Linked DNA regions of Drosophila melanogaster. The protein of the gene in region 1 interacts with the protein of each later gene in a pairwise test. Each region holds a gene or a part of one and is shown in the gene's direction. Other genes may lie near its edges.

Evidence for each region.
Region 2: the proteins of CG12567 (region 1) and Cpr66D interact in a two-hybrid assay, tested with the Drosophila melanogaster proteins (one large-scale study listed by BioGRID).
Region 3: the proteins of CG12567 (region 1) and Twdlbeta interact in a two-hybrid assay, tested with the Drosophila melanogaster proteins (one large-scale study listed by BioGRID).

Annotation. Positions count from the first base shown.
Region 1 is NT_033779.5:23,170,047-23,179,101, reverse strand, and holds the start of CG12567 (uncharacterized protein), read left to right. Parts: upstream 1-4,709; 5' UTR 4,710-4,967; coding exon 4,968-5,040; intron 5,041-5,148; exon of another isoform or gene 5,149-5,179; coding exon of another isoform or gene 5,180-5,210; intron 5,211-5,636; exon of another isoform or gene 5,637-5,732; intron 5,733-5,920; exon of another isoform or gene 5,921-6,029; intron 6,030-9,055.
Region 2 is NT_037436.4:8,635,915-8,645,445, forward strand, and holds Cpr66D (cuticular protein 66D), read left to right. Parts: upstream 1-4,524; 5' UTR 4,525-4,639; coding exon 4,640-4,930; intron 4,931-4,999; coding exon 5,000-5,167; intron 5,168-7,140; coding exon 7,141-7,494; 3' UTR 7,495-7,670; downstream 7,671-9,531. Other genes in the region: Zasp66 (Z band alternatively spliced PDZ-motif protein 66), read left to right, coding at 1,525-1,684, 2,243-2,281, 2,353-2,439; CG13305 (uncharacterized protein), read right to left, coding at 9,102-9,170, 9,254-9,374.
Region 3 is NT_033778.4:11,860,587-11,867,781, reverse strand, and holds Twdlbeta (tweedlebeta), read left to right. Parts: upstream 1-4,529; 5' UTR 4,530-4,566; coding exon 4,567-5,163; 3' UTR 5,164-5,245; downstream 5,246-7,195. Other genes in the region: Damm (death associated molecule related to Mch2 caspase), read left to right, coding at 1,428-1,460, 1,527-1,568, 1,619-1,826, 1,877-2,282, 2,361-2,439; CG42531 (uncharacterized protein), read right to left, coding at 2,993-3,072, 3,125-3,263, 3,328-3,410, 3,476-3,578; CG34230 (uncharacterized protein), read right to left, coding at 5,876-5,937, 5,994-6,126, 6,181-6,266, 6,317-6,425; Mgtor (megator), read right to left, coding at 7,180-7,195.

The DNA of each region.
Region 1 (9,055 bases):
AAAACCACTTCCCATGAACAACACAGAATTATTGATAACTCCAAAATATATGGTGATTCACGGGAATGAAATACATTACTATAAGGAAAATGCCAGTAAATAAGGAACATTTACAACTGCGGTTAAAATAATAGCACTACTGCAGGTGGAAATTTGATTTCCTAAAAAAATTATTAAATGTTTAAAGTCAGATTGCATGAATAATAAGTACCATATGCTGTCTTTCTGAGCAATAAACTTTTAAGCTCTCAATGTAACGGTTCTTTTTGTTTTTGGGAACTTGCTGCAAAAGCGCGCGAAATGAGGCGGTAACATAAATAGCACTGACCACGTATTTGCTGAATAAAAATAATTGGAGTTCGGTTTTTTTTTCGAAAAATTGAAAAAAAAAAGGATTTGCATTAAAGGTTTTAATTGAATTTGTTCCAAACGAAGACCAAGAATTCTCTAGTCATGGGTCGCGGAATGCATTGTAACGTCGAAAAAAGAAATTTGATTAAAACATGATCTCTGAAGGTAAAACCTACGCTGAAATTGGTCGCATTGTCTGTTGTTCAAACAAAATGATCCGCAACGCGCTGATGTTTGTCGAAAAGAACGAAACACAGCGAAGAAAGCCCTCAGTGTCAAACGTGGAGATCAAGCGCTTGGTTCGGCAAAGCAAGAAGGAGCCTTTTATGCCGGCGATGGAACTGAACAAGGAGATTCAGATAGCTGCAGAAAAGTCGAATATGCCAAGATACACAAGGACTGGCATGTGGAGAAGTGGCGCAACATTTTGTGGTCAGATGAGAGCAAAATTGTGTTGTTTGGTGGGAAAGGCTCTCGGTCTTATGTTCTTATGTCCACCACGAACTGAAAATTATCCTCGCTTCACCTTTAAGGCGGTAAAGCACGGGGGATCAAACATCGTGGTATGGGCGTGCTCTTCAAACTATGGAGTAGGTCCGATCCATTGAATTCAAGGCATCATGGATCAGCACATTTACACAGATATCCTGGAAAATGTAATGCTGCCATATGCCGAGGATGAAATGCCGTTGGTTTGGACATTTGAACAGGATAACGACCCAAAACACACGAGCAAGAAAGCTTGAAAGTGGTTTGAGCAGAAATCGATCCGAGTTATGAAATGGCCTGCTCAGTCACCCGACTTGAATTGCAATCGAAAACCTTTGGGCGGACGTGAAAAAAAGGTTTCTAAAGCCAAACCCAATAATAACGAGGAACTTTGGGGTGTGGTCAAGGATTCATGGAGCAAAATTCCTCAAAAACGGTGCCAGGACTTGGATTCCATGCCAAGACGATGCGCAGCTGTCATTGCCAACAGCTCTTCAGATATAATCCATTTGTTGAATTCTTTTTTTTATTTAGTTTTAGCAAACTACTACAGTGCTATTTTTGTTACCGCCCAAATTTGAAGGCGAAGGCGAGGCGAAGGACGTCGGATTGGTCGCAACGGTCTTTGAACCGGAGCCCGGCTACATCGCAAATTTCAATGGAAGGAATGTCAAACTGCAGACGGATTTCGGAGTCGACAAAACATTCACCCATTGCAAGGCGATGGTGTACAACGTACAATACGAAGCGGTGGAGAGGCTTGGCACAGAAGAATTGATGTTGGACATACCTCGGGTAGAGACGATTAAGAGAAACAGGACAACCCACCAGTTGGGAATACAACAGCTGAGGATGGAGGATATGGAAACAAAAATGCAGATCAACAAATTACAGTGGGAAACCACGATCCAAACAACAAGGACTTACACGATGCTCGATATACTACTGATAGTAGTATTTGTCGTCGCATGTTTCCCAAAGAACACAACAATTTTCACACCAGAGACTACACCACATGCCACCTTCACACCCACTATAGCTACACCTGCTACGGTACCAGTAACTATATATCACCAAGTACATTGTTGCGGCCCACTTAAACGCTAAAACATAGTATCAACAAACATCCGAAATGCTGCATCGGCGACCACTTGAACGCTGAGTCTTTGTCGATTAGCACTGGAGATTCTGAATCGATCTAAGCATCGGGGCCACTTGACGACACAGAATCGCATCCGCTCCACTTCTAGTTTACGGTCGTAAATGTACCAATCCAAACTGTAAAGTAGGAGAAAGATATAAAAGAATTCATTCAGATTTTCAACCTCAACTCCAACGGACCTTTCTCTGGGAATCAACATCAAATCAAAGTCTCACTTCTATCTCCTGAACCTACACAAGGAGTTAACTCGCGCAAAACCGATACACACTTAAAACAATGTTTTGATTTTTTTGTCTTGCAAGCTATTGGGAAAAATATTTTGGCCACGCCCACAGAACGCAAAAATCCGTCATTCATATTCTTTGTGCGAACTACTTTCTGGTTATAGTATAAATGTATACTCAAACAGTAAGCAATAAATTGTATCTCCAAAACTTATATTTTTTAAATATGAAAACGCCTTGATGAGGGTAAAATCAAGAGAGCATATTCAATAATAAAAGTGCTGACATAAAATGTATACTATTTACTTATTCGACACGCTTGAGTGGATATTGGTCGTGTGCTGAAATCCTGCACCGCTGATGAATTCAATATGTAGGATAAGATACAATAGAATCCTTAACCTACATTATCACAGTTTTAGTTCACAATGAAAATCCCTGATTTCAGCAGAAAGAATGGCAGTCGCCGCGGTGTCTGTTGCTCTTCCAGGCCATCCCATACCTTCCATAAAAAAAAGAAAGACGGAAAAGCGTACAACAAAACGACCAAAATGCAGCTTTGTCTCTATATTTAAGCGTTTGTTTATCTTAAGAGTTGGTGAAGACAGGTTATTTAGTGTTGTGAAGCATCGTTATTTATCAATTATGTCATTTGGATACTGCACAATAGAAGGATAAGACTAAGCTACCGGCACTGCTAAAGATAAAATCATATTCTCACATTCACTTAGCTAAGCAAAGTATCATCGTCATCATATTTCGATGGCTAGCAATTAGAATAGAGATAAGGTCTTAGTAGGAGTTAAAGCGCGACATCGTGATGAACATTTTTTTACCTTATTGATATCAGCACTACGATGCTTCAACATTTATTAGAACTGACAGCGAAGAGACACAGACATAGGAACAGACCGAAATTAACTCGTAAAGGAATCTTTTATTTCCTGCTATTCTACAAGCAGGCCTAGCGAATCACGTAGTTTTCACCTTTTATACCCGTTATTCGTAGAGTAAAAGAGTATACTAGATTTATTGAAAGGCATTTAACAGGTACATGAAAGCGTTTTCGACCATGTAAAGTATAACTAACTAATCCAATCTCTCTTCACAAAATCCGAATTACGCGTAGTTCTTAACTCTACACGCATTGCCAACACATCTTGGAGACCCACTCCAGTCCACACACATCAATACTAATGCACACCGCATTAGTACATCTGTACGCTTCCGTTATTCCTGCACAAATCTACTTCCCCCGCTCCTACCAGCGACCAGACTACGTTCGGCAGAAACTGTAGCGGTTCTCTGCCGCGCATCAAAAGAATAGAAAAGGCGCCTGCATGGCGCGTGCCAAGCAGAAACGCGCAATTACTAGAAATGTCGTTACAATTAAATGATCTGCGACATATACATATTCTTCATCAGGATTAATAGCGAAGTCCGTCCGTATGAACGTCGAGATCTCAGGAACTATTGAAGCTAGATAGTTGAGATTAAGCATACAGTTTCCAGAGATACAGACGTAGCGCAAGTTTGTTGATTCATGCTGCCATACCCACTCAACCGAACTGGCCATGTCCATCTGTCCGTATGAACTCCTTGATCTCAGGTACTGTAAAAGCTAGATTATGCATGCAGCTTTCAGAGAAGCTCACGCTCTTTCAAAATGTTTTGATATATTTAATATTTATATTAGTCTTGTAAATTTCTATTGATTTGCAAAAAAAACCTTTTGGCACTCCGACAAACCGCCCACTCAAAATGTTTTGATTTTTTTCATATTTTTATAAGTCTTGTAAATGACCTAAACTGCCACGTCTACATTTTTGGAAAATGTGTTGATTTTTCATCTTTTTACTGTTTATGTCTACTGATATACCAGAAAAACTTTTGCCACGCCTCTGCATGCGCCATACAATTTTTTAATTTGATTTAATTTGATACTCGGACTAACGGTTTTAGTTATATTATCGATTTTCCTTAACAAATTGTGAAAATTCTTGTTCACAATATCATAAGCTGCTAAGCGGGAATCTAATAGTAGATTAGCTTCGATGCTTATTTTATATCCAGTATATTTTGAGCTCAAGTCAGTAGAAAGGTATTACGTTTTCAACGAAAAGCAATCGGTCCATATTGAGTATTCCTTCGTATCTCCATAGAAATTAACAGTGTGAAATGAGTATTTAGAACATTCTAATAACTATTCTTATTATGTTATAATTAATATATTTGATGAAATATAATTATTTTGGAACAAACTTTGTGTTTTAAAAAGTAAATAAAAAAGTTTTTTCAGTTTTATTCTTTATTTGTCAAGTAAACAATCAGATATATAACGAAACTATTTATTTTTATTCATCGCTGTCCGGCTTTGCACCTAGAGCCTTTAACACGCAAACGAACTTTCAAATATGTTACTTATTAATATTGTAGTGCCAACAGAGCATCTCTTTGTCCTCAGTAAGTGCTGGAAAACGGACCATTGAGTGATGCTCTACATTACTCACCATTGTTAGTTAAGTCTGTGTGTTTATTTTATTATGGGATTGGTTTGGGCAGTGAAGAATTACCACTGAAAAAACTGATACAATATTATCATTGAAAGTGGTTGTAAAAATTTTTGCAGTGGGCTTTTAACAGAACGCAAACTTAAATTTTTCCTTGAAAAAGCGGTAAAAACTAAGCCGGCGATAGTAGATCCATTTTCCCTACATACGATCAGAACTTACATAGTTTAAATGTCTTCAACCGAAGTGAAGCTATCAAGGCTGCTGATCTTAGCGCAAAAGTTTAACAACTTTTACCTTTCAGGTAAGAAAGCATGTCATGGATTTTAGCATTTAAGACCCGAAACATACATTTATATAGTTCAAGTGAATTATCGATTACTTATTCCATATGTAGGCAAACAAAATATACATAAGTATTAAATAACTTAGGAAGGTTTGCAATGGCTGTCTCGTTGATGTGGTTGTACATACGTATGTATGAGTCTCAAATAACTATTTGTGTTGGAAGGAGGAAGGGTTATGAGCAAGATCAGTTTTACAAATTTGCACACACAAAACTTACCTGAGTACAAATACACATATTTATAATTCCTTTTATATACACCCTGCAGTTCCACACACTGTCCTTTCATCAATTAATCACCGCTCAGTGAAAATATCGAGCGCCGAATCACGGCGTAATTGTTTATGGAAAAATAGCCATGATTTTAACATTAAAATGTCCTAGGAAATCATTGCCAAGTCGAGCAAAAATCCCTAAATCCTCAATAGTGTTTGAAGAGATACATTTTTATTACTTTTTCATCACTTTTATGGGCCATTTTCATCAACTGTTCATTAATGTAACATCAAAGTTCATTTCATCGTTCTTTTATTACAAAAAATAGTTTTTTTTTTATAATTTGACTTATTATTTAAATTATGCATTATCTTGGAATTGCCTACGGAGTTGCGGCAGTTGTGTTGGAATATTGGTGTACATGTCCGATTTACCTTAAAGTGAAGTATATTAGTATAATGTACACAAAAATGTATTAATTAATTAATGAATTAAATCCGAAAAACTGGCACTAAAAAAATAGCGTCTGCCCCTCACAAAAATATAATATCAAGTGTGCAATTTTGTTGTCTTATTTCTCTTTGCATCTTCCGATGCGAATTATAAATTTAAGGTTTCTTACGATGCCTATGGGCTCGGCGACTGTCGGCTGTGCATTCGAAGCAATTGGATCTTCTGGCGTTTTAGTGATTGTGTGATGTGTTTAGTAGAATGCATTTTGGGATTGCAGTGTATTTATGTACATATGTATGTCCATACTTATGATTAATATACATAAATACATACATACATAGCTTACAATGACGTCTATCTGATGAAGGTGGAGTGATAATTCTCCTTTAAGACAAAAATGTACATGTGTATGTACAAAAGTTCTAAGATTAACTTTTGTGGCAAAAAAGAAGTGTACATTTCCAAACATTTCTTTCCTTCCACCTCCTCCTACCCGTTACTCGTTGAGTAAGAGGTAAAGTATGTTATAAAGCTAAAAAGTTCCCTTTAATATGATAACAAAGCGTTGCCAAAGAGCAATTTCAAAACTCATGTCTAAGTTGGTCGCCGGTTGATGTTAATGTTAGAGAAATTTATTCCTCTTTCCAAATTTTTCTTATTTACACTAGTGGAAATAAGTATTTGGACAATAAATATATTCAATATATTTATATATTGCAAAATATATATTATATAAATCAAAATTGTTTAATAATTTTAGTAAAAAGGTTGACTATCGAAGTTAAATTAGGTAACATAAACATATGGATAACTTCATTGTTGATTTAACAAAAATTACATTTTTACAAATTATCAGTGGGATAAGTACTTGGACAAATTATGTATTTAAATGTTATAAATTGAAAAGAAAAAAGTCAACTAAAAATTTTAACAAATTAATAAAAAATATACCCTCCCTAAGCGTCACCTTTTGAAGACGTTTTGGTACAGACTACCAAGCTGTGGATACAATCTATTGAAATATCCTTCTATAAGGTTTGAATTTCCAAAATCGTTTCTTCGCGACTTCTAGATAAGATCATCTAGACATCTAGATTAGATTATTATGTTTTATATATGATCAGAGGTTTTCTATTATGTTGAGGTCTGGACTTTAAAGTGGCTAATCCAATGTGTTTACGCAAGCATCTTTCAGAAACTGCGTAATCAGTTTGGCCCTTTGACAGGGAGCATTATCCTGCTGGAGTATGAAGGACTCTCTAATCAATTTATCACCAGAGGGGAATGCATGATTATTAAGGACATCTAAATATTTTCTTTGATTCATGGTTCCATCAAAGACACTAGAATAACAAGATGCGTAACGGCCATACATTGGTTTGGCACTATGCAGCCAATTTTTTAGTGACGGCCAAAATTGCTCTCTTTCCGCTCGCTCCCGCTGAGAGCATAAGAAATCTAAAAATAGAATTTGCTTGCTTTTGTGAGTAAAAACAAGAGACGAGAACGCGTATATTTGTGCGTGTTGTGCTAGAAGACGATTTTCGGGCCGAAATCAATTCTGATCGAAGAAACGAATTTACATTGTACATATTAGGGTAGTTTTTGCCAATTTCGTAGCAATATGATAAAATAAAATAATTTTTAAAAATTCGCGCCCTGACTATTATAATTTTAAAGCTTTTTAAATTTGTTTGTTAAAATCGCCGCTCGAATTAGCTACCGTTTACACATTTATATTTATGTTTAATTCTAATTTGTCTCTCATCTGACAATATTTTAAAAGCGAAATATTTTTTTTGAAACACTTTTAATGTTAATGTTACATCATATTAAGTCAAATGATTTAATAAATATACTAAATAATTAAATATGATAACTGTTTATTGCAAAACGTAATATCAAAGACACTACAATTATTCTAGTGTCTTTCCTTGGTTCATATCTTGAGGCACGAAGTGCGGACACAAGCACTCAACAATCATTGCCTTATTAATTTTTCACACGCCGCAAGATGAATACTCTAATGACAAATATTCTTATATAAAGTCATTTTTGAAATTTATTTTTGTGATAATATGTACATAGATTTGACTATTTCTAATCTATTTTCAAATAATAATAACGTTAAGGCAATGCAAAACAAGAATTTTTCGCCAATTGATCAAAAATAATATAGATTTAAAGTCAAAGAACTTCTAAGGTGAAGGGCATATTTTGTCAAATTTACAATGCATGAGCATACGTGTGCACACATACAGTTGTCTGCTATCACTTTGTGCGTTGAAAAGAGCTGTTCGCTGTAGCGCTCTTCGCTCTCTCGCTCTCTAACAAAAATTCGAGAGAGCCTGGAGCCACCTCTAGAGCCACGGCCAAAAAATCGTGTGCCAAAAAATCGTATGGCGTTACGCATCTTGTTATTCTGGAGTCTTTGGTTCAACCTTGATGGACTGGATGGTTATAATAACTACTTCCTCGATGTGAGAAAGGAAGAATTTTTCTTAAGTCCACATCACATCCACAGTGCAGGTGGAGGAGCCGTATCTTTTTATGGAACATGCGGGTATGAATGATATTGCTCCCATCCATACCTGGGGTTATAAAACCGTGGATTTAGGATCAAAATGTCAAATTGCTCGAGTGGCTGCCTATTACTTCCCTGATATCAACATCATCGAAAACATTTGGGGACTCTTGTTAAGGAGAGTATTCGAAGGAGGAAGACAATTTAGGGACTCTGGTACTCTAGTTGGTCAAGAATATCAATGAGTAACAAAAAAAAACAAAAGAGAATAATATAGTCGAGTTCCGTTAAAAAATATCAAAACATTTTTAAAGTGTATGGGCGGCGCAGTTTTGGGCGGTTTGTAGGCGTGGCAAAATTTATTTAACAAAATTATAGAAATTTTTTAAACTAATAAAATCGTGAACAAATATCAAAACATTTTACAAATGTGTGGGGGTAGCAGTTCTGGGCTGTTTGTGGTCGTGGCAACAATTGGAAACTCGTGCAGCGTCTATGTCTCTGAAGGCTGCATGTTTAATCTCACATCCAAGTTTTTATAGTTCCTGAGATTGAGGCGTTCATATGGGCAGACGGACGGATCGGCTATTGATCCTAAACAAGAATATATATACTTAATATGGTTGGAAACGCTTCGTTCTATCTGATACATACTTTTTAATGAATTAAATATACCCTTGTACTCTACATTGTAAAATTAAAATAAAATTGAAAATATGCTACTTTCGGCGTGTACCCGAAAATGTACGATGAGAAATCGGGAATCTTATTTTTGCCCAA
Region 2 (9,531 bases), on another chromosome or scaffold:
CAAGTTTCCCGTGTTTTCCCCTGCCTGTCTGTACAGACTAACCCTCGATTATTGTTGTCTCCCGCAACCTGAACAACTGAACTATATATGTAGTTTCTAAGAACCAGATACAATATCTATGTCAGAACAACAGAAACAACACGACACGAGTCCAAAAACCCGAATGCATGTGCTCTGCTGTCTACGAATATGTGTGTTCCTTTTTTTTCTTCTTCCTAAAAACGTCCTATTGCAAAGAAAAGCTCAAATGATCTGAGTCTGCGCTTAGGAAATCATGCTATGTAAATATGTGTATTTCTGGAAATGATCTTCACCGAAACCCCCAGCGAACGTTGTTTGTCTTGAGGCTTTTCAGTTTTGGTTTTTAGGACATATGTAAGTTTAAGGTATGGCAAAAGTGGCGTAGGTGCATCGGTAAGAGTTTTCAGTGGGTAGATCAGGTGCTGTTTCCATAGATTAACCAAGTTCAACAAATAAACGAACCCTAGACCACTCTACCACTCTAGCTCTTAGTTTCTGATATGCTTAGAACATAGCTGCACGATTAATGTTAGAATTTTCATCGATCTATCTTTCCTGGAACAAAAACGTATTATTCTGGAGCAACAAAAGCAAAAAGACCAACTGGCAGAGCAACAACGTCAACAACGCCAGCATCAACTGCAAATACTCTATCAACAAAACAAATGATCAATCAAATAGTAGCCAAAAACTGAACCCACTTCTAATAGACTATGAGCCAAATACCCTTTCCCAAGACCCCTGCTAAAAGTCCTTCCCGTCCACACTTCTTTCCGACCCACCACCCCAAAAGACTAATCCGAAACTAAAAGACGTTTGCTGAATTATATTTACGAACTGTTTGAAAGACAGCACTGAAAGTTCCTATTCTTGATCCCCATCGCTATCGCAACCCATCCAGTATTAACCGAACGAGACTAACTAACCACCCTAATCCCGCCCGATCTCAAGGCTTCGACTCATCCGATGATATACATACATGATAATCTCAATATAATCTCGCACCTTGTTATGCAGTTCTGTTTGATTACTCTTAATAATAATAATAACTAGATTGTAAGGAATTTGTTTATGAGTTTCCTATTAATCGCAATCCGTTTGAGGAGTGTGCAGTTCCAAGACAACAAAGCACACCTATTGCCCAACAACAACAGCAACAACCAACAACAACTACAACAAAAACAAAATAATTCTAACGTATTTTGTGCACATCCTGTTTTCTCTTTCTATTCTCTCACTACTCTGTCTCACGCTACTCAACCGATGTAAAAAAAAATCAAAAACAAAAAAACCAACATATTTTTTATAAATCTCGATTAACCAACAACAATAAAACAAATTAAAATAAATAAATCTTTTAAAACTTGCGTAACACCAAAACAAAAAATCCAACGAATAATTGACCAAAATAACGGCGCTTTCAACGATCTCAATGCAAACCCCCGAATTACTGAAACTTAATCTCAATCGGAACCCGAATCACTGACCACTGCCAACGAGCAGCTATAAGAAAACTGTCCAGTACGATCCCAGGAACAGCGAAACCTACAGAGCCATTCAAGAAGAGGGCGGCTACAGCAACTATGGCCAATCCTCGCCACAGGAAGTGACCATTCCTGTGCAGACTAAGGTCTATCAGCCCAATAGATTGGTTCCAGGAAAGGTAAGATCGTGCGCAACCGTTCGAAAATCAAGCAAATCTCTCAATCAACTCGAATCAGTCGAACTCAGTTAAAACTTTATGTGAAGGCATCCGACAATATCGCTCGATTCTCAAGCTCATCCTGTACAAAGTCTATCTATTTCTCTCTGTTTCTATCTCGCTCGCTGTCTCTCTATTCGTGTCAATGTAACGTGTACAGTTGATCCAACCGAATGTTAGTCAACAGTGTCTGTGTGTCCTTGTCTGGCGGCATGTAAACGCGCTGTAACGACGACTAACGGGGCCGAAGTAGTGTTACTAACTTGATTTTTTGGTCGATCGATCATCTGCTGGCATCGAACTACACTAAACACATCCATTAACTCCATATATGTGTATATTTTCCAAATCACAAGAAGCACACATCTTTTTGGCATTCTAACACGGAATAATAACATCTAACCGAAGCTCATAACAGTTGAATATTGCATTTAAAAAGTTTTTAACCGAAATTGCTGGATTTAGCCAGAGTTATTAAGCTATATCTTATCTGTTCACTCCATCCAAATGCTATTACAGAAACCAGTATCAGCGCCAGTATCCCGGCCGCCGTACAATGTGAGTAGCGCGGATTTATTCACTGTTAACTGAATGTTATACTAATGATGTGTCTTATGATGGGTGAACAGGTGGTAAACACCCACGATGAGAACATACGCCAGAGCGGCTCCTTCAATCGTCTCATGTACAGCGTGATTGGTGCCACCGAGTACTAGAAAGTGCAGCTGCAACACCAGCGACAGCAGCAACATCAACATCAACGCAACATCGGCAACATCTGCTGCACTTGTTTTATCTCCTAACATATTTAGCGGATTTTTATGAAATTCTGTTTAACTTACTCAATAAATTATATGAAGAACGACAAGAAATTGTGAACCACTAACAAGCTTGATGATATAATGGATTGGTAATCAATTGGCATCGAAATAAATTTACGATATAAACACCACTTAACGCCGCCTCAACCTAATTACTGTCTGCATATGCAATAGAAAACGTATATAAATTAATTAAATAAAAAAAAAAGGAAAGTAAAATTTGGTTTATAGTTATGTTTATGTTATGCTGATTCTAAGTTAACAGCCAGTCAGGCGTGTTAATACCGAGTGATTCTAGTCATGGAATGTAATAGGTATTAAGAATGTTTTAATTAATAAAAGTGACTTTGATTGGATGAAAGAAATGTGTGTGCATTATGTGTTATAAATATAAGCAAGCTAATTTACGTACATATGTATGAATCAGATTTTTATATATCAAGTGTGATCATATGACGTGGAACTATTATGTAATTTAAAGGCATTTGCACCTGAAATTTACGCTTAAAGTGCAATATATTTTGAATCGTACATTTCAACATGCCGACAACGTAATTGTATCACAATAATTTGAATATGACGAGCTCTTTTGTCTGTCAGCCTGCCTTCTTTTAAAACATTAAGTAGGGCCAAACCCAGTTCAAAACCATAGCAAACCGAAGTCAAAAAGAAGTAGCCAAAAATCTTTGCATAACATGACGCTGCAGATTTGCACTTATTCCATCAATCATTCCGGCAATTAAACGTATTTATATTGAAACTATATGCACACATGAGCCGAGAAATGAGCGTACCCATAAATTTGACTTTAATTTGAATGGAAATAAGTCACTCGAGTGTGTGTACGTGTGTAATGTGCATAACAATCGTCTGCAACACATAATGTACTTTCACTTCACGGCTAAGTAAGCCACAAATGTGGTTGGTTTTTCTTTCGATTGTGTACTATTTTGCTTTATTTCAAAGCTGTTACAATGTCAGCGCGATCCCATTAAACGGTCAGCCCCACATTTAATGCCCCGTTTTCGACTCCCCCGAAACGACCTTGTCGACTGCGAATCGATGCAAATTCAGGGCGTATCTCATGAACCATACGCAAAAGAGTGCTCTGTGGCAATTGTAATCACGTATCAAATGTTGTAGGAGGACTTATGGGGCTTAATGCCACCATCACATGATCGCAAAGATCGTATATGCAAAGGGCTTGGGAGTGCAGAAAAAAAAAGAGAAGATTTGGCAATCGGCGACATCGAAGATCGCTTGAACCCATTCAACCGCAACGCAAACGCAACGTCTGATTCAGATACAGATAGGCAGATACATATATAGATAGCTAGCTATTCACAGATAGATGGATACATAGAAAAACGTTTAGTCGAATTTGGGTCAGCAACAATGCACTTGCTGGGTTCGATTTTTGACTCGGGTGTGGCCCTCCTCCGATCGCATTGACCTCTTCTTCTCCAAGAGCCAAGCGATTAATTGGGCATGATTATCTAATGGGAAGCCATCAAGAGAATTGCGTGGAATATAGATATAGCTATATTATATAGACATGCATGTCGAAGGAGTAAACTGCAAATGCAATTTACATTTGCTCGTGGGCACTGCATGCCCTCGAAAGTGTGTGAGTGCATAGCTGTTGCAATGATAAATTCGGGAAAGTTTTCCAATGCTAGTCAGCTTCCTCTTTTTTTTTTTTTTGGCCAAGTTAACAGCTGTTGGCCGAGATCACGTAGGGTTACAAAAAAAAAGTAGGGAAAAAACCTTTAACAATGGCCCAGGTCGAGGGTAGAGGAACTGTGATTCGAACGGAAGTGACAACCGAGTTGGGGTCTTTTGGCCACCCAAAAAAACAGCTGTTGTAAATCAGCCAAGAGAGTCGCATTATGGCCAATAAGAGCGTGAGAGAGCCGTCGTTTGGCTTGCCGCTCGTCGTTTGTCGTTTGCCGATATAAAAGTGCAATTTGGATTCGCAGCCAGCGCAGATACAATTGTGGCTCCGTCGAGGTTTCAGTTAGCGTTTGAATTTGAATACAAGTGCCCGCGTTCCGTCGTCCAAGTGTGATCTAGTATCCAGTAAACCCTTAGCAACATGCAACTCCTTTTGGTGACGGCCACTTTGGCCATCTGCGGCGTGGTGGTCAGTGGACAACAGGGCGTGGATCCCGCCTACTTGAGGCAGTACTACCAGCAGCTGCAGCAACAGCAGCAGCAACAGCAGGCTCAGCCCCACGATGGCACGCCCATTTTCGAGCAGAACTCGGAGCAGACGCAGCAGTACGTGAACTCTGGCCAGCAGATCAGGATCAAGGATACGGTGGCGGAGCAGATCCGGGCACAGCAGCAACAGGGATACGTGGCTCCATCGGTCAGGGATTATCAGGTGGGTTTGCTTACTTACTGTACAAATAATCTAGATGTCTATATTGTTGGATCTACAACCTTTTCACAGCAATATCAGCCTCAGCAGGCCGCCTACCGTCCACCTGCCCAGGCTGCTCCTCAGCCACCACGCAGGATTCAGCAGTCCTCCTACCAGGCTCCTTCCACTTCGATCCTCGGCAAAGGACAGCACAAGTTGTCGCTGCAGCAGCAAAACGAGGAGGAGGAATACGATGACGTAAGTTAACAGTACACGTAAAACAATATGTCCATTTTTCAAACAAATAATGAGGTGCGGATATGAAGAAGTATTAATGAAAAAGATATGTGAAACAAATAGATCAACAGATATCTATGAAACCCAGTGATCAGCTAAAAGTAACCAGTTTAAATCAATTTGCAAAAAAGAAACAAGCTTAATTATTTAACTCAAAGCCGTTTTGATACTTTATATCAAATTGAAATCGATCCTCTTTTTGCGGTGCACCCAGCTGGTGTTCGAACTCACATTCGAGTGGGACTTTCGCGCACTTTCCTTTTCGCTTCACTGCAACAGCAACTGCAACATCAGTGAAAACAACAACAACATAATTACAATTGAAGCATGCAATGGCATTGGGGGATGGATCGGGGGAGGGCAACTGTGACTTGGGGTTCATTAACCACGCTCAGTGTGGCAACAGTGTGGATTTGGCCATGGCCATATGTGTGTGCATCGCATTGTGCATGTTCATTGGCCCGGGTTCGCTCCTGGTCCGGTCCGTTTGGCCACTTAGCCACCGGCGATTGTTTATGGCCTTTGCATGCGGAAGCTGGCGAATATCCGTTACCAAAGTGACCATAATCCATCAGGCTTAATGCGGCGGCAAGCCAACGAGATGGGGTTAAGGTGCTCAGTTGGTGTGTCATCCTATTAGCCACTTAAAATTGATGGCCCAAACAGGATTTGATGGGTTTTGTCAAAAAAAAAAAAAAGTTACATGACAATTAATTTGGTATTTCATCATCCTAAAACTAAAATGCAAAAGAAATTAGTAGACACTAGGAAAATGGAAAACATCATGTGGCGGCACATGTAATGATTAAAACACATCTTAGCATTGTCAAATTTGTAAGAGCTATTATATTAATCATTACAAGTGATTGCAATTTACCGCTTAATGTCTCCGCCAGACAATCACTTTCAAATGCGACCCATTTACCCCAATCCCCACTCCGTGACCATAAGATCTGCAACTCCGAGCCCAATTCCCACAACAATGAGCTCCAATGGACATGGCACGCATTAGAACCGGCTTGCAAACTGGCTTTGCCTTTCCAATTTTTGGCCTGCAGTTCTGTGGGCATTTAAGCTCTTTGTTTTTTTGGTCCACGTCAGGCCTAAAAGGCTACCTAAAATAAAAGAACGAGGAATCGATTTGTGGCCACGCTCTAAAGCCACGATCTTCTTGTTACCTTAACCCAGTTGCCAGCAATCTTAGATCCGATTGTCTTGGCCAATCGAAGGTCTTGCTGCCATTGGATCCTCACAAGAACTAGGGGGAAATCGCACCAACCTTGTGCATAAATTATCCAACGCCTCGAGGTTTTTATGGGTGGTGGTGCTTCGATCGCCTGGTTGCATAAACATAATCCGCAGTCAACGGATCGATCGTGTGATCCGCAGCCGCTGCAACGAACCGGCACTTTGATTCCGTGCGATCGGACCATTAAAATATGCAAGCGGCTCCAAATTACTTTCACTTGTGCGTGATCTGGGATTGGGAGTTTGGAGTTGCACAGCCTACGCGAATGTGCCTTGGGGCGATGACGCAACACCAGCGTCTGGACACGTTTTTTGGGCCAGCCTCAAAAGTGGGTCAGCACCAGGTTGTAGTACGCATTTAAAGTCCCCATCGAGCCCCACCCCATTCACAAAGTGCCCAATCTGATTTTATTTCTTTGCAAAAGTGTATTGGAATCGATACTATTTTCATTGCACAATTTAATTAGTTTTCACTGGCACCCATATCTTTCTGTAAATATATCATAACTTTTTATCACATTTAATTTAGAAATTAAAAAAATTTAAGTGCCTTTCAAGAGATTAATATCATACAAGTGCTAAAAGCATTTGCAATTATATTACTAATTACTCATAAATCATATTAAGTAATAGATTTAGTTATAGCCTCATCTCCCAACTAATGCCTAACTAACAATGTTTTTTAGCAAAACTCCTCGTACCAGTTTGGATTCGATGTGAAGGACGACGAGTTTACCAACTACCAGAACCGCAAGGAGATTCGCGACGGTTCGGTGATCAAGGGTAGCTACTCGGTGGTGGACTCCGATGGCTTCATCCGCACCGTCAAGTACACGGCTGATCCAAAGGAGGGATTCAAGGCCGAGGTCATTCGCGAGCCCACCGACATCGTGGTGAAGATCCCCACTCCCCCGCCGCCGACGCAGTTGCTCCGCGCTGGAGGGCACAAGGCCCAGCAGGAGTACAGCTCCGGGCCCAGCAAGCAGCAGTATCAGCACCAGCAGCAACAGCAGCAGCCACAGTACCACCAGTACCAGTAGGTGATTCGACCATCCAAGATCGATGACTCTTGTCGAAACACTCTTGAAAGTTCCGCAAGTCCATGTAGTTTGTAAATATGCCGAGACTCGATTGGCACGAGATTATAACATTATTCTATTTTATATCATTCATTTAGGTTCGACTTTCTTGTTTAGAATATTAAATTAAAAGTTTCAAAAAACATGAAATGTGTCATGGAATATTTTTGTGTGAGGCTAAGTGATAAGTTCGTTTTTGGTCAATACTCCACCAATGATTGAGTAATACAAATCCCTTTGCTCTTGAAACTCCTTCCAATACTTCTTTCCGGTTTTTGTTAACCTTAATATCTTAGACTCCCCAAATTGAGGTCACACCGATGTCTGCCAACTCGAAGGTAAACAAATTTTATTTGCGTATAAATCAATGTCCTAACCCCCCGAGCAATTGGCAAAGTTCAGAAAGGACGCGGACCAAGAACCCAGTGACAACACCCAAAAGGCAGATCTAAAGACAACCCGTTCGGGCAGTTGCTGACAAAGGCCATCTAATGGAAGTTCTCACAGTGGATCGTGGTCACCGAAGACACGGCTTCGGATTCGGACCCGGCTGGACCGGTCAGACCGGTTGTCCTTTGGGAACTCACGCCACAAAAGCAATAGGAATAGCAACAGCAATCGCATTCGCATCGCAGTCGCATCGCAGTGTCCTTCTGCAATGTCCTTGCATAAATTAGACGAGCGTGTGAGAACTTTGAGCAGTCGAATATCCCCGGCTTTGATGACCTTATCGCCCAAGAAGTAGCAGAAGACGGCCGGCGATTACGAACCGGTTCTGGACAGTCTCCAGATGATGAGTTGAGGTGCGATGACTGACAGCCAGTCGGGATCGCTTCGCTAATGACCCGCATAGCGGGTCAAAGGGCCTGTAACCCATTTACATATGTAGGTTCGGGGATCAAATATTGATCTGCTGCAAGGATCCCGAACATGTGCGTGGTCATTCACGCCGTTGGTATTCCAACAAACAACTGGACATTAGTCCAGGCCGCCGGGCATTTGTGTCATTTGCTTGGCCGTCTTTGGATGGATATGCAAATGAGGCGAGTGCAACCCCCGAGGTTACAAGATAATACCCTCACACATCTTCAACCCCTTCGTCCTGCTTCTTGGCAGACGCATTTACATATCCTTAACGAGCGACCCGCATGATGGACCGACCGATCGACTGTCTTGTCCTGTAAGTGTAAGTAACTGCAGGACATTCGGGTCACTTCGAGGAACCAGTTTCCGGCTAAAGGATGGCCCGTCGCCAGTTGACCTTTTTGGATGGCCCAGCCAGTGCCCGTTGAACTTGTGTAACCGGTTGGACAGTCCACTTTTCCGGAGCGCCGTGAGAAAATCTCACATCTCGAAGATGACCTAAGACAAGAAGCTGAGCAAGCTGCATTCGTATGCAAATCTTTTGCAGTGCTCATTCCAATTTCACGCCAAATCATTGCCCTTAAATAAATAATACGGCAAAATTATGAAAAGTCACGATTTATGCGAGTTCGCATGGGTATGTACAGAGAGTTTTTGGGGGGGATGGGAAAAATGTTATGGAGTATGCAAATCGAGGTCTGATCTCAGAGTTTTCCCTGCGCCATGTCCCAACGATGTTCGCCGTGACCTCCTTGACGATCTGTCCAAATCACCTAAGTCGATCGAGTGGTTAAGAGGGAGAAAGTCTGCCGAATTATCTGGAAATTTATTAAGTTGGCTCTCAAGCTCAACTCACCTCGCCCTTGTAACGATTCGTGCCTCGCTGGGATTCAAATCGCTTTTCCTGGGCCTTCGGATGCTTCAGGACGTGGCCATGACTCCGCGAATCGGGTGCATCAAAGCGCATGAAAATGTCACTAAGCATTGAAATTAAAAGAAAGAAATTAGTACTAATTAATTTTAGAATTAGGAAGTAATTGTAATTGTCCAATTGTTAGTTTTCATTGTTTAAATAACAGCCACCATTTTGTCAAAAATATGTTACTCACTTTTCACCCTTTTTTCTATAAAAAT
Region 3 (7,195 bases), on another chromosome or scaffold:
TTACACCTGAAGTATGTTGGGTAAATGATAGGTAGAATTAATAAATTGAACTTAGCCAAGTACTACTAGTCAACTATAAGGTAAACAATAAATTCCAGTTTGACCAATATATCTATATCTATCTATCTATAGATCATATAGCTGTATGCAGTTGAATCGGTCGTTTTACATTACACAGACCAGAAAGTAACTTGGTTTTATTTTAAAGAAATAGGTTTATAACTCATTAAGCGTTTTTAACATAATTTCCAAAATAAAAGGGCTTATCGAAGTTGTGCAACTCCTCAGAACAAACTTGTTTCGAACTGAAAAACAGAGAAAAGCTGGTAGTACACCATATAGTTACATCCTGCTGCCACACTGCTTATCCTAGTAAAACTTATCCTGTCTTAGTTGACCTTCGTACGACCTCAGACTCAACATGCTTAAAGATCGACCGAAAGTCCCTGGTAAGGCCATATTGGTCCATTGCCTCGCACAAAGTTCGTATGAAAAACGAACCATGATTTTCATTGCGATAGCTCAAATAGGGTTCGTTGTTGCTCAAGATTAGGAGGATAAATCCAGCCTCCTGGGTGAATTGTTTTTCAGACCCTTAAAGAAATTCGTTACTAAGAATAAAACCGTTTGCTCATATTTCTTACACTCCTTCACTTTGTTTCTAACGACCGCCAAAGCTGGATTAGAAATTACTTCAACAGGACATTTTAGGCTTTCAAATGTCTTGCGAAGAGCATTGGCATCATTTGAGCTACCCCTTTTGTTCAATTGAGAATCCTGAGGGAACTCCTCATGTTGAGAATGTACACAATTGGAGGCTTAAGTTTTTTGATTAAATCATATAGTCTGTCAATTTGTAGCAATACGTACTTTTTGATGTTCAATTCCTTGAAAAAGATCCATGTTTCTTGTTCCCCGATCTAAATTTAACTGAGTAATACATAAAGGCCCGTATTAGATTTATGGCACAATCATATTCATCGACAAATGCAAGTACAACTTGGGTGTTTATTGTTATTTCCCGATTATAAAGGTATTGCCGATTGTTGCCTTTTTATACCCTCTTACCCTACTTTATTACTTAATTAACCTACTTACTTAATTAATTGGCTGTGCTTTTAACATTTGCACAGATGAAGTCGGTGGTGAAAACCCAAAAGAGTCAACGGGAGAAAAGACAGCAAAAGACAGGCAAGACAGCCTGTTGACGAGTTATCTTCTATTCTACGAGTGGCGGGTAGATAAAGTCAGAAGGTCAGTAAAGGAAGTTTTAATCGGAAAATAGTAACTCAATTTGTACTTTTTTTGTCGATGAACAAATCCGGATGTTGGCTATATAGCTGGCCAGATAGTGACTGATAAGACAACAAATATTGCACTTGCTTTTGTGCATTACTCAGTTAACGTTATATCGCCGAACAGTAAACATGTATCTGCCCGAAAGAACAGAACATCAAAAAGTACGTATTGTTATTATTATTATTTTAAGAAACTTAATGGTCTTTACGAAAAATCCATTGATACAGATTGAGAGACTATATGACAGCAACAGGGTCAACGCTGAACCAGTAAGTATAAATTGAAGAAAATCACAAATCATCCATTGAATTTTCCTTAGGGTCAAGGCCTTGATTTAAATGAAAAACTAAAGCCGCCAGCCGTGTACATTCTGAATCATGAGCAGTTCCCTCAGGATTCTCAATTGAACAGAAAGGGTAGCTCAAATGATGTCAATGCTCTTCGCAAAACATTCGAAAGCCTAAAATGTCGAGTTGAAGTTATTTCTAACCCAGCGTTGCCGGACGTTAAAAACAAAGTGAAGGAGTGTAAGAAATATGAGCAAACGGTTTTATTCTTAGTAACGAATTTCTTCAAGGGTCTGCAAAACGATTCACCCAGGACGCTGGATTTGTCCTCTTTATCTTGAGCCATGGCGACCGAAAAGAGAAAATCTTGGCATGCGACCACAGGGAATACCACTTGGACGATGACGTCCTTTTTCCCCTCTTTAGAAATCCAACCTTATCTGGCAAGCCAAAAATTTTAATTGTTCAAGCCTGCAAGGGTCCGTTGAGAGCTGACGCGAAAAAAATGAACAACGAACCCTATATTAAGTGTTACAGCTGCTCCGAGGGCTATTTGAGCTATCGCAATGAAAATCATGGTTCGGTTTTCATACAAACCTTGTGCGAGGCAATGGACCAATATGGCCTTACCAGGGACTTTCAGTCGATCTTTAAGCATGTTAAGGCTGAGGTCGAACGAAGGTCAACTATGACAGGGTAAGTTTTACTAGGATAAGCAGTGTGGCAACAGGATGTAACTATATGATGTACTTCCTGCTTTTCTCTGTTTTTCAGTTCGAAACAAGTTCCTTCTGAGGAGTCGCACAACTTCGACAAACCCTTTTATTTTGGAAATTATGCTAAAAACACTTAATGAGTTGAGTTATATATTAAAGAATTTCTTTAAAATATATTTAAGATACTTTCTGGTCAGAGTAAAGTTAAATGACAGATTCAACTGATCCATATATTTACTTTCACTTTGTCAAACTGTAATTTACTGTGTTGATATCTTATCTTTAAATAAATCAATCGAAGCGGAACCCGGAGATAATGTTAAGTGTTCAAGGAAGTGGGTAAGCAAGTGGGTAGGCATTATAACGCGCTTACCTATTTATCAAACTTTATTTACCAATATACAAAATATATCTGTGGACGGCAGTCAACTTAGTGACGAAGCGCACCTGGAATTTACAAAGCTCTGACATGGTTGATTGTAAAAAGTACTGTACAATAGATTTTTTTTTATAATATTTTTAATTTCGAATCCGATTTGCTAGGGATAATCTCAATTTTATTTGAGTTCACCAAAAAATCATGAATGAATTTTACAATTAACTTAAATACTATTGAGATCATAAGCACCTAGAAAAACAGATAGCACAATCCAGACCCACAAGGCAATTTTATTCTTTCTGCGTAAGCTGTTAAACTTCCAGGACGTCTTCGGGATCTCTGACTTCGACATAATACGAGTAGACGACAATCCAGAAGTAGATACCACAGCCTGAAAAGGATGTTCTTTAAGGATGCAGTAACTCACAAAAATAACAACTTACATATATATATTGCAGATCCTGGGACTATTATCTCGCGGTACCGCTCCTCCTTAATCAGCATGTAGATGCAGTACACAAACAGGATCATACAGTTGGTCAGGCTAGTGATCAGGAAGAACATCAGGAGAACAGTTGATCTCTATAGTGGTTTAGCTTGGAGATGGGATCGGCTGCAGTGGGTGCCAAACAGTGGCTGCACTTACGATTAAAGCTCCGCCCAGCAGGAATGTGCAGCCGATACAATGGCAGATTGCCACCGCTTGCTCAATGTGTGCGATGAACTCCTCTAGATGAAGGTGGGATGCATTACCAGGGTGATCATTTAAATGGATCTGCCAGCCCCAAACTTACGACCCGCCAAGTTAAGCACCACTAAGTTAATGATGAAGTCCACGATGGCTATGATGATGCAGGCTCTGCGCAATTTAATGCAGAAACAGCATTTTTTCACCATTTTACAATTTTTATCTAGACAACTCCATAAACTGATTAGAAAAGCAGAGCTACTGTCAGAGAACCACAGTTTATATTACAACTAGTACTGTTAAAAAAAAAAAAAAAAAAAAAACGTAAGACATGGGAACAAACCGTTCTTATAGAGTTTGCCAAATAATAGAAGCTACGTATCTGTTACTTATCTATTAAATACGTATTATCATGACATATTGTGAGCGAATTGCGAATATTCCAGTCGCATTGGTTTCAGTGCATTATGACTTTCATTTCGAGTTGGGGGTTTTTAAGCTAAAAAGCACATTGTGTGCTTATACTACTCGAATATCACTTGGGACTGCCAGCGTTAAAATAAGTAGATAATTTACCGAAATAATGCTTGTTGATTCTACATGTCAGAAATGAATTTAATTTTCATTATTTCACATTTGGTTACTTCTTGTTCGCGGGTTAGTAACCTCTTTATGAAGTTGGCGCCCCATAAATACCTTAGTGTAGATCATGGAACCCAATGACCGTCCCTGGCCGACCAATGCAATGTGCGAGTTACATAATAAATTACAAGTGAACATCGCAATCGAGCATTAAGGCGAATGCTTTTGGCAAATATTGGCCGAAAAGGGGCCGGGAAGACCCAAAAACAGAACGTGACGACGACGGGCCCCTCCCTTTGATCTGGTTTGCCTGTGCAGTTTTCAGTTTCGTTTTCATCAGCCGAATTTCGGATACGAACCCGAATCGGAAACGGAATCTATGTCCACACTGGGCATCGAAAACGAAATCGAAATGGGCACAGTGCGCCAGCTAATTTGTATGCATCGCGCATTGCTGGCGGGGATTGAAGAGCTGCGCGTAACGCGATTGGGAAGCCATCGGAAATATTATGCAAGGGCGGGGGAGCTACGCATTGCTGAGGTGGCGGATTCATATAAAACACTCGATTGACCTGCAGCAGTAGCTTCATTCGCAGCCGAACCATCGACATCAGCATGCAGACGCAGTGTATCCTCCTTCTCTTGGCCGCCAGTCTGGCCATATGTGTGGCGCGTCCGGAACCACCTAGATCGCGTTACGGACCGCCGCCACCGCCGGCTCCCCAAAAGGAATACGGTCCTCCGGCCCCGGCAGCACAGCCTCTACCCGTTTACGGACCACCAGCCGCCTTCTACGGACCACCAGCCGCCTCGGAGGCGCTCGTGACCAAGAACGTGTACGTGCATGTGCCGCCAGAGGAGCCAGAGTTCTATCCGGCCTCGTCGCCCATCCAGACGGCCGTTCCCAAGAAGCACTACAAGATCATCTTCATCAAGGCGCCCAACCCTCCGACCCCTGTGCGCCAGGTGCTCCCTCCTCCGGTCCAGGATGAGCACAAGACCCTTGTGTATGTTCTGGTCAAGAAGCCCGAGGAGCAGCAGCCCGTCATCCTGCCCGCTCCAGAGCCCACAGAGCCCAGCAAGCCAGAGGTCTACTTCATCAAGTATAAGCAGCAGCAGGCCAAGCCGGCCACCCAGTACGGCCCACCACCGTCCGCCCCATCCGAGGAGTACGGAGCACCACCTGCCCCCCGCACCGTCGAGCAGTTCTAGTTTGTAGTGTCGTCTAGGTCTACAGCCCATGAATGTAAATATTATTTATGATCGCTGCCATTAAAGAGAGTTTAGAGAAAGCAAAATCAGCCGGATCTTAAAGTCCTTGGGATATTGATGAAAAAATTATTATAGCGGTTACAGTATTTCATATTACTACCTTGAAGTCATGAGCGCTCCATTCGTTGCGGATCCAGAAATCTTGAGATACGATCATCAATCAGTGCATCTTAACAAAGGCACTCGATATTTTTTTTATTTACCAGGAGCACGCATTGAATACAAATGAGGTTACTGCGCAAGTTATTGGGTACCGATAATTGGGAAAGCAATAATTTATATTGCTCAATTATGCATTACTCGTTATTAACGTCGAATACAATATTCAACTTTCAATTTGTTTATTTGGTTACTTAGGTCAAGATTGCAAAAGCGCATTGAACAATGGATTACAACATGGATTTCCCTTAAAATTGTTAAAAATGTATGTAAAGCGTTAAAAATATTTATCATTATTGCAAGATGTTGCAGAAAAAGAAAGTAAAAATTGACCGGAAATTGAAGATATTATGGTTAGATAATTTCCAAATATACTATATGTTTGCCAAAAAAGGTTATAAATTACTTTATTTTATATCCAAAATGATAGAACATTGAAAGAATAAATTTTATAAGGACCAATATTTAACAATATACTGTAAAATTTACAAGCTCACGCGTCCTTTAAGCGATCATAATAGGAGTAGACCACCAGCCAAAAGTACAAGCCTAGAACTGGAAAAGGATTTGGCCAAGTTGAACATTGTGCCGAAATATTGAATGCAACTTACGGGATTGAAGAATATCGAAAACTAGATATTCATTCATGATGCCCTCTGTGGCTACAAACACGCCCTCGGCAACTAAAATGAAGAACCGCAGGCAGGAAACTGAGAGGTAAGGCAACAGAAAATATCTCAGGCCCTGTAATTAGACAGCTTTATATTGTCCACCAACCAAAATATTACGGATCCCTACCAGAACTGCTCCCAGCAGTAGAAAAATGCAGCAGATAACGTAGATACCGCTCACCACAAGGGAAAAAAGTCCCAGCAGGCTGTCACCTAAGAAAGCCAGTTATATCTTAGCTATTCCTATGCTCAGGACCACTCACGATCAACAAAGAAGCGATCTAGTCCACGTATTAGCACCTCAACGATGGCTATCAGGATGCTTCCGCACTTCAGATCCACGCAGCAACAGCAATTGTCCGAGTAGATCATTTTCGTTTCTTTTTGGGGGGTTTCTAAGCCAATTTCGGATACGAACTGCCTGGCCAACTGACTTACAATAGCAGGTAATTATGATGAAGTCTTTAATTCGGAGCACGTTTCATGTTCCAATGCTTGCTGCATAATTAATCGGCTTGCGTAGCTTAGACCAATTAAGGTCAATGCCACCAAAGTGCAGTGCAATCGGTGGTCTATATTTCACATTAGAACTAGTGCGATTTTAATCGAACACGTTATCAAACTAAATTAATTGATTTGTTTAAATACTGTAATATTATTATCTTTTACATTCATTTGAATATCAAAAACATTAGTGGAAATTCTTTAAAATACTTTAAAGTCTAAGAAATATGGTTTAAAGAGGGGAAAACTACATCTTAATGCGTTATAACACTACTAGAATGAGGCAACTTATTCAGGGAGTAAACCACTTTGTAGTGCTGGGGTAACAGCAGTTTGAAATCCTTGCCCAGAAAGGTGCATCAAATATCGACAAAATTACACATATATTTATTAAAAACTCTATAGCAAAGTTAATGTACAAGAACCAAAGCTCTTTGCATCTTGTCAACTGCAGAAACTCAGGACTCGCAAGCTGGAGAATGTAGAGTAATATGTATTTGTGGCTCATCCTAGCCTAAGCGCTTTTAAATGCGAGGAGACTTATTTCTAGCCCAGTAAACGCAATGATTTTATAGTCAGCCTACAGCGGACTTTCGTCTGCGGGTCCGCCGAACTCCTCGCCCTAGGGGAATCGTCCT